Linked DNA regions of Drosophila melanogaster. Changing the gene in region 1 together with any one later gene gives a genetic interaction. Each region holds a gene or a part of one and is shown on either strand. Other genes may lie near its edges. The genes, in order: Ccm3 and GckIII.

Evidence for each region.
Region 2: of Ccm3 (region 1) and GckIII, changing one enhances a phenotype caused by changing the other (phenotypic enhancement), as found in Drosophila melanogaster (one study listed by BioGRID).

What each region holds. Positions count from the first base shown.
Region 1 is NT_033777.3:15,369,885-15,374,971, forward strand, and holds Ccm3 (cerebral cavernous malformation 3), read left to right. Parts: upstream 1-2,072; 5' UTR 2,073-2,267; coding exon 2,268-2,333; intron 2,334-2,510; coding exon 2,511-2,688; intron 2,689-2,746; coding exon 2,747-2,879; intron 2,880-2,964; coding exon 2,965-3,129; intron 3,130-3,501; coding exon 3,502-3,586; 3' UTR 3,587-4,353; downstream 4,354-5,087. Other genes in the region: CG6136 (uncharacterized protein), read right to left, coding at 1,138-1,929; Rbp (RIM-binding protein), read left to right, coding at 4,978-5,084.
Region 2 is NT_033777.3:17,083,702-17,088,679, reverse strand, and holds GckIII (germinal centre kinase III), read right to left. Parts: upstream 3,168-4,978; 5' UTR 2,883-3,167; coding exon 954-2,882; 3' UTR 692-953; downstream 1-691. Other genes in the region: cal1 (chromosome alignment defect 1), read right to left, coding at 1-140, 198-278; kuk (kugelkern), read right to left, coding at 4,271-4,978.

The DNA.
Region 1 (5,087 bases):
CGGGCTCCAAGGACCCCATTCTGTTCCAAAACACACAGCTAGAGTGAATCAATTTTAGATGCGCCTGCGCATGAAATTCGATTCATATCGATAAGCCTAATTTGAAATTAATGTTCTTGTCCTCATATGTAAATATCATTAAACAGCTAATGTCATTATTTTGAAAAGAGTTTTCAATTTATTTCATTCAATTTGCCTATTTGTAGGAATACGGATTTTTCGACATACATATCAGATGCGACCAAACTCCTTCTGGCTCACTGCAGGTTTTTTTGGCGACTTGATATTGCACTTAACACCCTTCTGCGAATGGTTTTCACTTCGGCAATTGTGGCCGTTTTGAAATCCATCTTTTCGACAAGCTTTAGCATGCATTTCACTTGGGATATACTTGGATTTCAAGAAAGAGATCTCAGAAATTGATAAAAACCTACCTTTGAAACCAATCTCCTCACTTAGCTCGTAATATGAACTCAGCTCCCTACCACCTTTCTGCCGTTCACATACTTTTCCGGAACGGCTTCTAGATGTTTGTGTTTTCGTTTGGATCTCCACCACGTCTTGGGTTTGCTCTTCCTCTTCAGGCTCCATGTGAGACTTGCATTGCGTCCAACATGCCTCTCTGATGTTGGTCGCCTTGCAAGTCCTACGAAGATGACACCTTCTTTTACTTGAATTTCGCCTAAAAATATATTAGTTTATAACCGAGTTCATATTTCCTTCTTTAGCTTACTCTATTTGTTTATCTTGAGCTTTGTTTTCCAATAAAGATTTAATGCTGTGCTCATTGTACGATAGCCCCGAAATCAATCTTCTATTGTTGGCCAGCAGTTCTTTCAATCTCCTCATATGATTATTTAGCTTTACATTGTATGCTTCTATTCTATGCAATACCCTTTCTGCATTATTTAAGTGATCATTAAAAGAATTATGTTCTAGAGCAGCAGGATTCTCTACTATCTCCACAATCATGTTGTTTCAGCACAATCAAATCAAATCAAATTTGGATTATTTTTTAGAATTTAGAATTTTAGGGATAAGACTACTTAAGTAAAAGGTATATACTAGTTATATATGATGTAAACAAACAGTTAAGGAATAATTTAAGTCTTAGGGATAGGTTAAGTACTATGATTTTCAGCGGGAGCTCATCGCTTTCGCAATGGTAACCATCTTTCGCACCACGATGGAGTTGGTTCCGTAGTAGGGGTCCACGTCCTGTTTGCCCATGGTCACGTCACACTCCATTCGCGTGGTGGTGGGCGCCACGTAGTCCTCGCCAGCCGTGTCCAGGGCGGAAGCGTGAAACTCTAGGCAGCGACTGACCGTGAGGATCTCCTCCAGGTTGGACACCTTTATGCCGGCGCCGGGCATAACTATAAAGTCTCTTTGATGTTTGGCTATCAGCTGTGCCAGGCAATCTACGCCATCGGCAGCCGTGGGTCGGAATCCGCTGCTCAGCAGACGTCGGAAACCTAGTTCCCGCAACATGTCGACATTCTCGTCCATGGACTTCTGGTCGGTGAGGTCGAAGGCGCGGTGAAAGGTCACTGGCAGACCACCGGACGCCAGCAAAACGTGCCGACACTGATCCACGTTGATGCTGCGATCCGGATTCAGGGATCCGAAAACGAAGCCATCGGCACCGTTTTCCCGCAGCAAGTCCATGTCCGTGAGCAGGGCGCACATCTCCTCGTCGCTGTAGACAAAGTCGGTGCCCCGCCGTGGCCTCAGCATGCAGTAAATGGGCATTGTGAGCGTTTCCTTAATAGTTTTTAGGGTACCGATGCTGGGTGTCAAGCCACCTTCGCCCAATGCCGAACACAGTTCAATGCGTGAAGCTCCGCCTTCCTCGGCGGCAAAAGCCGATCGTATGGAGTCCACGCAGACCTCCAGCTTGATATCGTGGTTGGACATTTCTCTTATCATTGATAAAAGGACAGGTAAACAAAAATAAACCAATTTATTGCAGAGTTCCGATAGGTTTATGTAAATCAGCTGATTCTACCATCAGCTTCTACAGAAGCAATCGATATCTAACCAAGCACGACACGTTCATCGATAAAAACCAGTTAGTTTCCAGTATTGAAAAACAACACTGTGCCTGTGCTGTTGTGAACAATTTTTGTTAATTTTTTAATTTGATTTGCGAGCGTCGTGCGAGCGAAGCGACGGACATCGCACGGAACGGGAATCGCAACTGGGTTCCTGCAGCATGCGCCAGGATACCTAGGCACCAGTAGAGAAGACCAAGCACACTAGTAGCAATGACAATGGGCGAGCCCACGTCGTCTCTCGTTCTGCCCGTCATACTGCGGCCCATTTTCTCCCAGGTAGGTGAAACGATCCCAGGTGCTCGGCTCCGCTCTGCTGTGCTCTGCTCCGAACCCGTCAGCCCCAAACCGTACCTCTGAACCCTTCAGCCCCGTCAGATCGTGGCCTGTTGCGTAAACCTTTACATGGGGTACTTGGGTTTGTAATTGCTTAACTTTGTGTACGTTTACCTGCAGCTCGAGCGACGCGACGTTGGCGCTGCCCAATCTCTGCGCTCCGCCATTCTCAAGTCGGAGCAGAACAATCCGGGCTTCTGCTATGACCTCGTAGCCACAATTGTGCGGCGGGCCGATCTGAATGTTAACCTAAACGAGGCCGTGCTCCGATTGCAGGGCAAAATTACGGAAGCGGACCGTAAGTAGCCACGCCAGCAGCTGAGTTTCGTAGCTAACGAAGTTTCCCCCTTCCACAGTCAATGAATACCGCTTGACGCGCACGGAGGAGCCCTTCCAGGAGCTCAATCGTAAGTCCGTGGCTCTCAAGGTGATCCTCAGCCGCATACCCGATGAGATAAACGACAGGAAGACCTTCCTGGAGACCATCAAGTAAGTAAAAACTCAAAATGAAGCTAAAACTCACTGCATAAGCTTAACTGATTAATGAATAATGAAATTTTACTGCGTTTTACAGGGAAATCGCCAGCGCCATAAAGAAACTACTCGATGTGGTCAACGAGATCGGCTCGTTTATACCTGGCGTAACGGGCAAGCAGGCTGTGGAGCAGCGTAAGAAGGAGTTCGTCAAATATTCCAAGAAGTTCAGCACAACGCTGAAGGAGTACTTCAAAGAAGGACAGTAAGTATTAAGAATCACCTGCAGTGATTATTTACTATATGTGTTATCAAACGATACGCTGCGACGCCATGACAGCCGGTTTCTTTAAATCGGCTCATATCTGGTTTCTTATCGTTTCGGGCCAACCGTTGAGATGATGTCATTCCATTGGCATTCCGGGTATTGTTTGGTTTATCATTTTGCGCCGGAGATTCTGAGGGGCGGATATTAAGCCGGACCCCCGCCCATTTTAAATTGTAAATTGCTTCGATTACGTACTAATGGCTATTACCGCTGACCTTTTCATGAAATTGGGGCCAAATTGCATTACTAATTCAAATTGCTTCAGCAAGGATTTTCTAACCGATTCTCTTTTATTTTATCTATTTTCAGACCGAATGCAGTATTCATAAGTGCACTTTTTCTAATACGGCAAACGAATCAAATAATGCTGACAGTTAAGAGTAAATGCGAGTAGAGAATTAAATCCTTTAATTATGGCAAATTAATTAATTAGTGGCATTTTAATTTTATGTTTAAATAACCATTTAACATACCAAGACCGAAACAAATCAAATAAACTCAACACACTTAAATACAAAATCGCCCGACGCAGTCCAAGTTAAATGTTTGAACGTAAATGAAAATCTGTTGTAACTAAATAAATAGGCCTAATTTATATCGTATATACATATGTATTACACATACTCGGACACAAAATTTTGCGAAGCCTAAGCATTGTAATTAACTAGTGAGCAACTATTTATGGAGACGGACGATGTGTGCGAGAGTTTATTTTTCGTTTACAATTTATTGTAAATAATTCATTCTTTTTCTGTTAACAAACAACATCGGCTAGTTTGTTTTTGTTTAGGAGAAGCGCCTACGAATAAATTTAAAATTAGTGGAAAAAAAACGAGAAACAGGAAATGTATGTACTACGGGGAGATGACAAACAAAAACATTAACGGAACACTTAAATTTTTAACTGTTTTTAATTGTTAGAGTTTGAAATTTAAACACTATACATAATAATCTTTTACTTAATGATATGTTCTATTTGAAAACTGCGAAAGCGAAAGACATTAGTGGCCGACAGCACTATCAACAGGATGGAGAAAAAATTATTTTAATTAATAAAATGTTATATGAAAATCGAACACTAAGCAAAAGTAAAAGAACGGCAACAAACTCATAATGTAGACATAGCGAAAAGAAAACGACAAATAAATGTATTTATATTCCAAAATTGAAAAGAGTGTTTCATATTTAACCAATTTACGTAAAATTACTTTATAATTTATAGTATTAGGTGTGGTATGATGTGGAAATAATTGTTTTATATTACCCGAGAATTGATTTCGAAAATCAGAGATTGGTAAACTGAAATCAAAATCTCAGATTTACACGCACATGTCGTTAACAGAGGACAGCGCTGTTAACGGATAACAGCCAAAAGTAATAGTAAACCCCCAATAACAGGCCCTGAGCAGAAATTTACCCAGTTGCAACCCCAAAGGAGTCCTTCTGAGAGCGGGAGAGAATTGCCCGTTTTTCAGTGTCATTTGGCAGAAAAATCGATTCCCCGCACACTGAATAGTGGGCACTGGGTACTGAGTGCTCGGCTCTGGGTTCTCTGGGCCACTCTGCTCTGGCACACTGAGCACCGAGCTGGCAGTTGGGTAGAAATCAGAGTGCGCCAGCAGCGCGACCGAGATGACCCACTTTTCGGTATTCGCACTGAGACCCAACTGCTACTACCCACAGAAAGTGGACAACTAGGCGGAGTTTTTTTCTATATAGTAGCAGTGAAACGATCGCGTTTTTCGGATATATTATGTACAGCCTACGTAGCCTAGTGTAAACTATATGCATTTATGTGAATTTCCCAGCGCAAACGTGGAAGAGGAAAACAGGCGACCTGAAAAAGCAGCAGCAGCAGCAAGCAAGAAGCAGAAGCACAAGCAGCAAAAAAGGTT
Region 2 (4,978 bases), 1.7 Mb from region 1:
AGCTTTGCCTCGTCGGGCACATTGTCCTCCACAGCCTCCTTTGCCACGTCATCCAGGTCGGGGTCCTCGTCCTCGCCGTGGAACAAGTTGTCGAACTCGGCCACATCTATTTCCATGCCGTCTTCCAGGCTGGCAAAATCCTATAAAACAATATCGTCCATCAAGAAGAGACGCCACTTGGGTTTCTACGGACTCACCGCCATTTTACTGGACCAGGCCTTAGAGCGCTCGTAGACCATTGCCTCCAGTGTTTCCTCGTCCACCACCGCATTCGCCATGGTTATGTAGTTATCAGTTCACGGAATACTTGATTAAAATTTATAAAAACTAAAAGAAATCTTAAAACACAAAAATAAAGAGTCAACAAAAATGGCGTTGCCACTGGTGTTACCGTCTCCAAGGCGCCAAAAAATACACCAAAACGCGACTTAACTAAACACGTCCCATTTTTATTTATATAAAACAAATAGAAAACTTGGGTTCCTCATTTCCAATAAGGTCGTTTTGATGTTCTATTTGCACGGCTTTTTGATTATAATTATTATTTATTTAACGATATCCTGTTTATTCAATTTATTTATTTTTTTATTTACTGCATTTTTCGCTAGCGTCCAGCGTTGCCAGATCAAATGAATACTCGGAGTCACCAATGATGCCAAGTTCGCATTAGCGCGCCAAAATCGAATTGTTTATTTTTGTGGGGTTTTTATTTTGAAGTTATATATGTTTTACATTAGATTAATATTGCAGATAAACAAACGAATACATATTATATGCTTAAATAACTGTTCAATTGAAATACATGTACATCGCTCCCGGTCCTCTGTTGGCCACTAAATGTCGGAATATGTCTGCTCCAGCGTTTCAGTTTGTGTTGTCTCGGTGTCGTTAATAAAGTTGTGTATATATTAAAATAGGCTGCTTGGAATCGGAATTTGCTACGGCTTCGCCAGCTACTTGCGGTTGCGTATGGCGCGGTCCATGATCGTATTGATTCGCGTCTCCGAGTAACCAGGAACGAGCATGTGGATCAGCTCTTTCATAAATAGGTCGCTCACTCCCGGACTGGAACGTTCGGCCAGCTCGAACACAGACTTCAGGTCGCCGATGTCGCTGCCGACGCCTATGTTACGGCCGCCTGATCCTCCGCTTCCTGCAGATCCTCCGCCGGAGTACTTTCGCTGGATGTCGCTCAGCACGGGGAAGAGGAAGTTGTTCAGACAGGCGCTGTTCGTTTGGACTAGGCGTTGTCCCGCCCCAGAGTGCTTGACATGGCTGGCATGGTTGGTGGCCACATGCTCCTCGTGGCTGTGGTTGTTGCTACTGCTGCTGCAGCTGGCAACCAGCGCGGCGTTATTTGCATGGAATGATTCACGTTGGCTGCTGCGGCGCTGTTGCTGCTGCTCAGCCGTCGATGGAGTCGGAACCGACGACTGCAATGGCAGGCCCAAAGAGGCACGGCGATCCTCTACTTGATCCAGAGGGGCGGCGGATCGCGACTGGCGCAGCTCCGGCTTCGAGCTGGAACGCTTCTGCTGCAGCTCACTGGCCGACGACGAGCTTGTGACGCTGCTCGGCGGAGGAGCTGCGTTCAGCATGGTGGTGGTGGCATGCTTGTTGCTCAAGTTTCTGATGTTATTGTTGTTAATGTTGTTGTGGTTGTGGTTGTGGACGTGACTGTTCTGGGGGGGCAGGGCGGATGCAGAGGAGACACCTTCGTTGGCTGTAATGACCGATACGGAGGAAGCTGACGCCGCCACGGCGGACACAGAGGACGATAATGCATTTGCAGCAGGGGACGCTTGCACGCCACCACCGCCGGCTGGCGAGTGTGTGGTCTGCATCAGCTTCTGCATGGTTAGCTCGTGCTCCTGCAACTGGAAGCTGTTGACACCCGCCCGCGGAGCACTGTTGATATGCAGGCCCTTGACGGTCATGATCCAGGGCTCATCCTGGCTGCTGCCGCCCTGCTTGGCGTCCGAGTCCGAGTCAGAGTTCTCAGACTCCGTCTCACTTTCGTCGCCCTTGGAGACCTTCCACTTCTTGAAGCGGTCGATCAGGTCAATCAGATAGGCGTTCTTCTTGGCCTTCTTGATGAACGGGTACTTGAGCAGCTCCTTGGCCGTGGGCCTGTTCTCCGGGTCCTTGTTTAGGCAGGCCTCCACAAAGTCCTTAAAAGACTTGGTATAGCTGCCCGTCAGCTGGGGTGGATTGTTCTTGGGGATGAGGAAGAGCACGCGCATCGGATGCAGCTCCGAATTGGGCGGCTCACCCTTGGCCAGTTCGATAGCCGTGATGCCCAACGACCAGATGTCCGCCTTGGCATCGTACTGTGACTGCTTGATCACCTCGGGCGCCATCCAAAAGGGCGTGCCCACGAAGGTGTTCCTCTTGGATGTGGTGTTGGTCAGCTGGCCAGCGACTCCAAAGTCCGCCAGCTTGACATCGCCCTGTTCGCTCAACAGAACATTGGCCGCCTTGATGTCGCGATGCAGCTTGCGCTCCGAGTGCAGGTAGTCCAGGCCCTTAAGCACTTCGCGCAATATGATCCCGATGTGCATTTCCTCGAAGGAGCCGGCCTTCATGAGGTCCAAGGCGGATCCACCGCCCAGGTACTCCATGATGATCCATAACTTGGTGCCCTTAAGAAAGCTGCCATAGTACTTCGTCACGTACGGCGAGTCGCACTGCGACAGCACCATGATCTCCTGCTGGATGTCGTCGATCTCATCTTCGGCCTCCTCCAGATCGATGATCTTGATGGCCACCACTTGCTGGGTGCGGTTGTCGATGCCCTTGAACACCTCGCCGAAGGAGCCCTTGCCGATGCGCTCCTGCTTGGTGAAGATGAGCTCTGGATCGACTTTCTCCGTCCAGGACATGTTTCCTATCTGGTTTCTACTTCCCACTTCGTGGCTTCTGGCTCTCCTCCTCCACCTCCTTCTGGATTCACGGGTTTCCTTGTTACTCCGCTGGCTCTCGACTGGCTTGTGTTGGACCCAACTGGACTGAACTGTTCTGCGGGCTATTTGGTGGCTGAACTACTCTGCGGGGGCACTTGACTAATAATTTTTTCGTTGGTATCTCATCTAATCCGAGAAATCTCTCTTTTTTTTGCTGTATCGCAGCAGTATCGAATACCGATTGAATATCGATATTCTCCTGTCGATATCGATATCTTTCCAGCTGTTGATTAGAGCCGCCAGCCGAAAAATAAATATTAAAATTAATTTTTTATTTTAATTGTAATAATATTTATTTCACGATTCGTATGTATTTTCTTAACTCTGGCAGAGCAATTCTTATTCTTTCACTAATATAATAGTTATTAATTTCCCTAAGATTATTTAACTCGTTAGCAGTTCCGAAAAGCTTAAATAAGATTAACTTATTCATTTATTTTCCTATTCGACTTGTGTCAAAGCTTACAATATATAAATATTAGATGTTAACTATTTTATTTCTTTACCCACTTCTGTAATTACAAAACCCATTTGGCAGCGTTGCCACATAATATTGAATATTGGAAAGCGTTGCATCGATACCCGCTAAAAACTTAATGTTGCAGAATGAATTTACATCGAGTCCCTCATTTTTAGTTTATTGTAAATGGATGTAGTTATCGAGTATAAATAAAAACAACTGGTTTCCAAACGATGCAACTAAAATGATTTTTTCGCCATCACTAAGGATTCAATTTCACATCATTCAAAATAATTTTCTTTAAGCTTAATATCGCAATTGATGGGTTATTTTAATACATAAAACACATAAGTTACTTATATCTGAAAAAGAAAATCGCAGTGCCTTCAATACCCATGCATACACCAAAAATTCAGATATTTCGTTTTAATGTACTTTATTTATGAAATGTGTTACATTTTTCTTTTTTTCTTTTGATATAGCGAAACAATACATGAACTCGGCGAAAAGACTTTCACAAATATGTGTTTTATATAAAAATTTCTTAAACAGATTACTACAAGTATGGGTTTTCTACGGTTGGTACCCACTTTTGCCTGGGTACAGATCGTCAGATTCGTCGGTGGTTGTCTGCGACCCGGGAGTTCGCGAGGAGACAACCAGCAAGGAATCTGTGACAGAACGGTGATTTTCCTGACGAAAAACGACCCGACGAGTCCTAGCTATAAAACTTTCTCTTAACATGTTACTTTACGTCAGAACATAAATTACCAAAGAGGGTGAAACAGATATGCTAAGACAATCTTATCAACTAAGGGAAGGGTATTATGTGGTCTGGCCTGTTGTATTACATAATTGAGCAGATGGATCGGCCCTCGGCAGCGACCGCGGCAACATCAGCCACCTCTACAACAGGGTCAATGTTTTCTCCATCGCTGGACTCCTTGTCGCCATCCTGGCCATTGACGTTCTTATCCTCGACATCCTTCTTGGCGGGGATTTCCTCCGCTCCGGCCTCCTGACCAACGGTCACGTCTTCGGCCGGTTGTTCCTCCTCCACATCAACCTCTTCTGGTACGCCAGTCGTAGATGTGTTCAGATGTTGCTCCTCCACGCCGGAACTGTTCGGCTCCAGACGCAGACGGGTCGGAGTACCGATTGTTGCCTTGGAGAATCTCGAGCGCAGCAAGCTAAAGGGAGAAGCCAAATTCAGGCTGAACAAGTCGAAGCGGGCGCGCTTTGGCGGCGACATATCCACGTCGTGGCCCAGGTCACTGGTCGACTGAGAGGCCGTCAGTGGTGGGGGAGTGCGTTCACGCTTGCGGCCACGGCCAAAGAATGAAAATGAAAATGACGAGCTGTTGGGGATCTCTGATCCGACTGTGGCATTCATGCTTGCGTTCGTGCAGTTCGAGGTGTCCAGATCGCTGTTCCCGCACCTGTAGGTGCCTATTTTCGAGGGCGTCAGTGAGTCGATGGGTCGTATGCTACGCCTGCCGCTGATCTGGGCGAAAGTGCGAGCCGGAGTTCCTGCCGGCGAGCTGGAAGTCTGGGC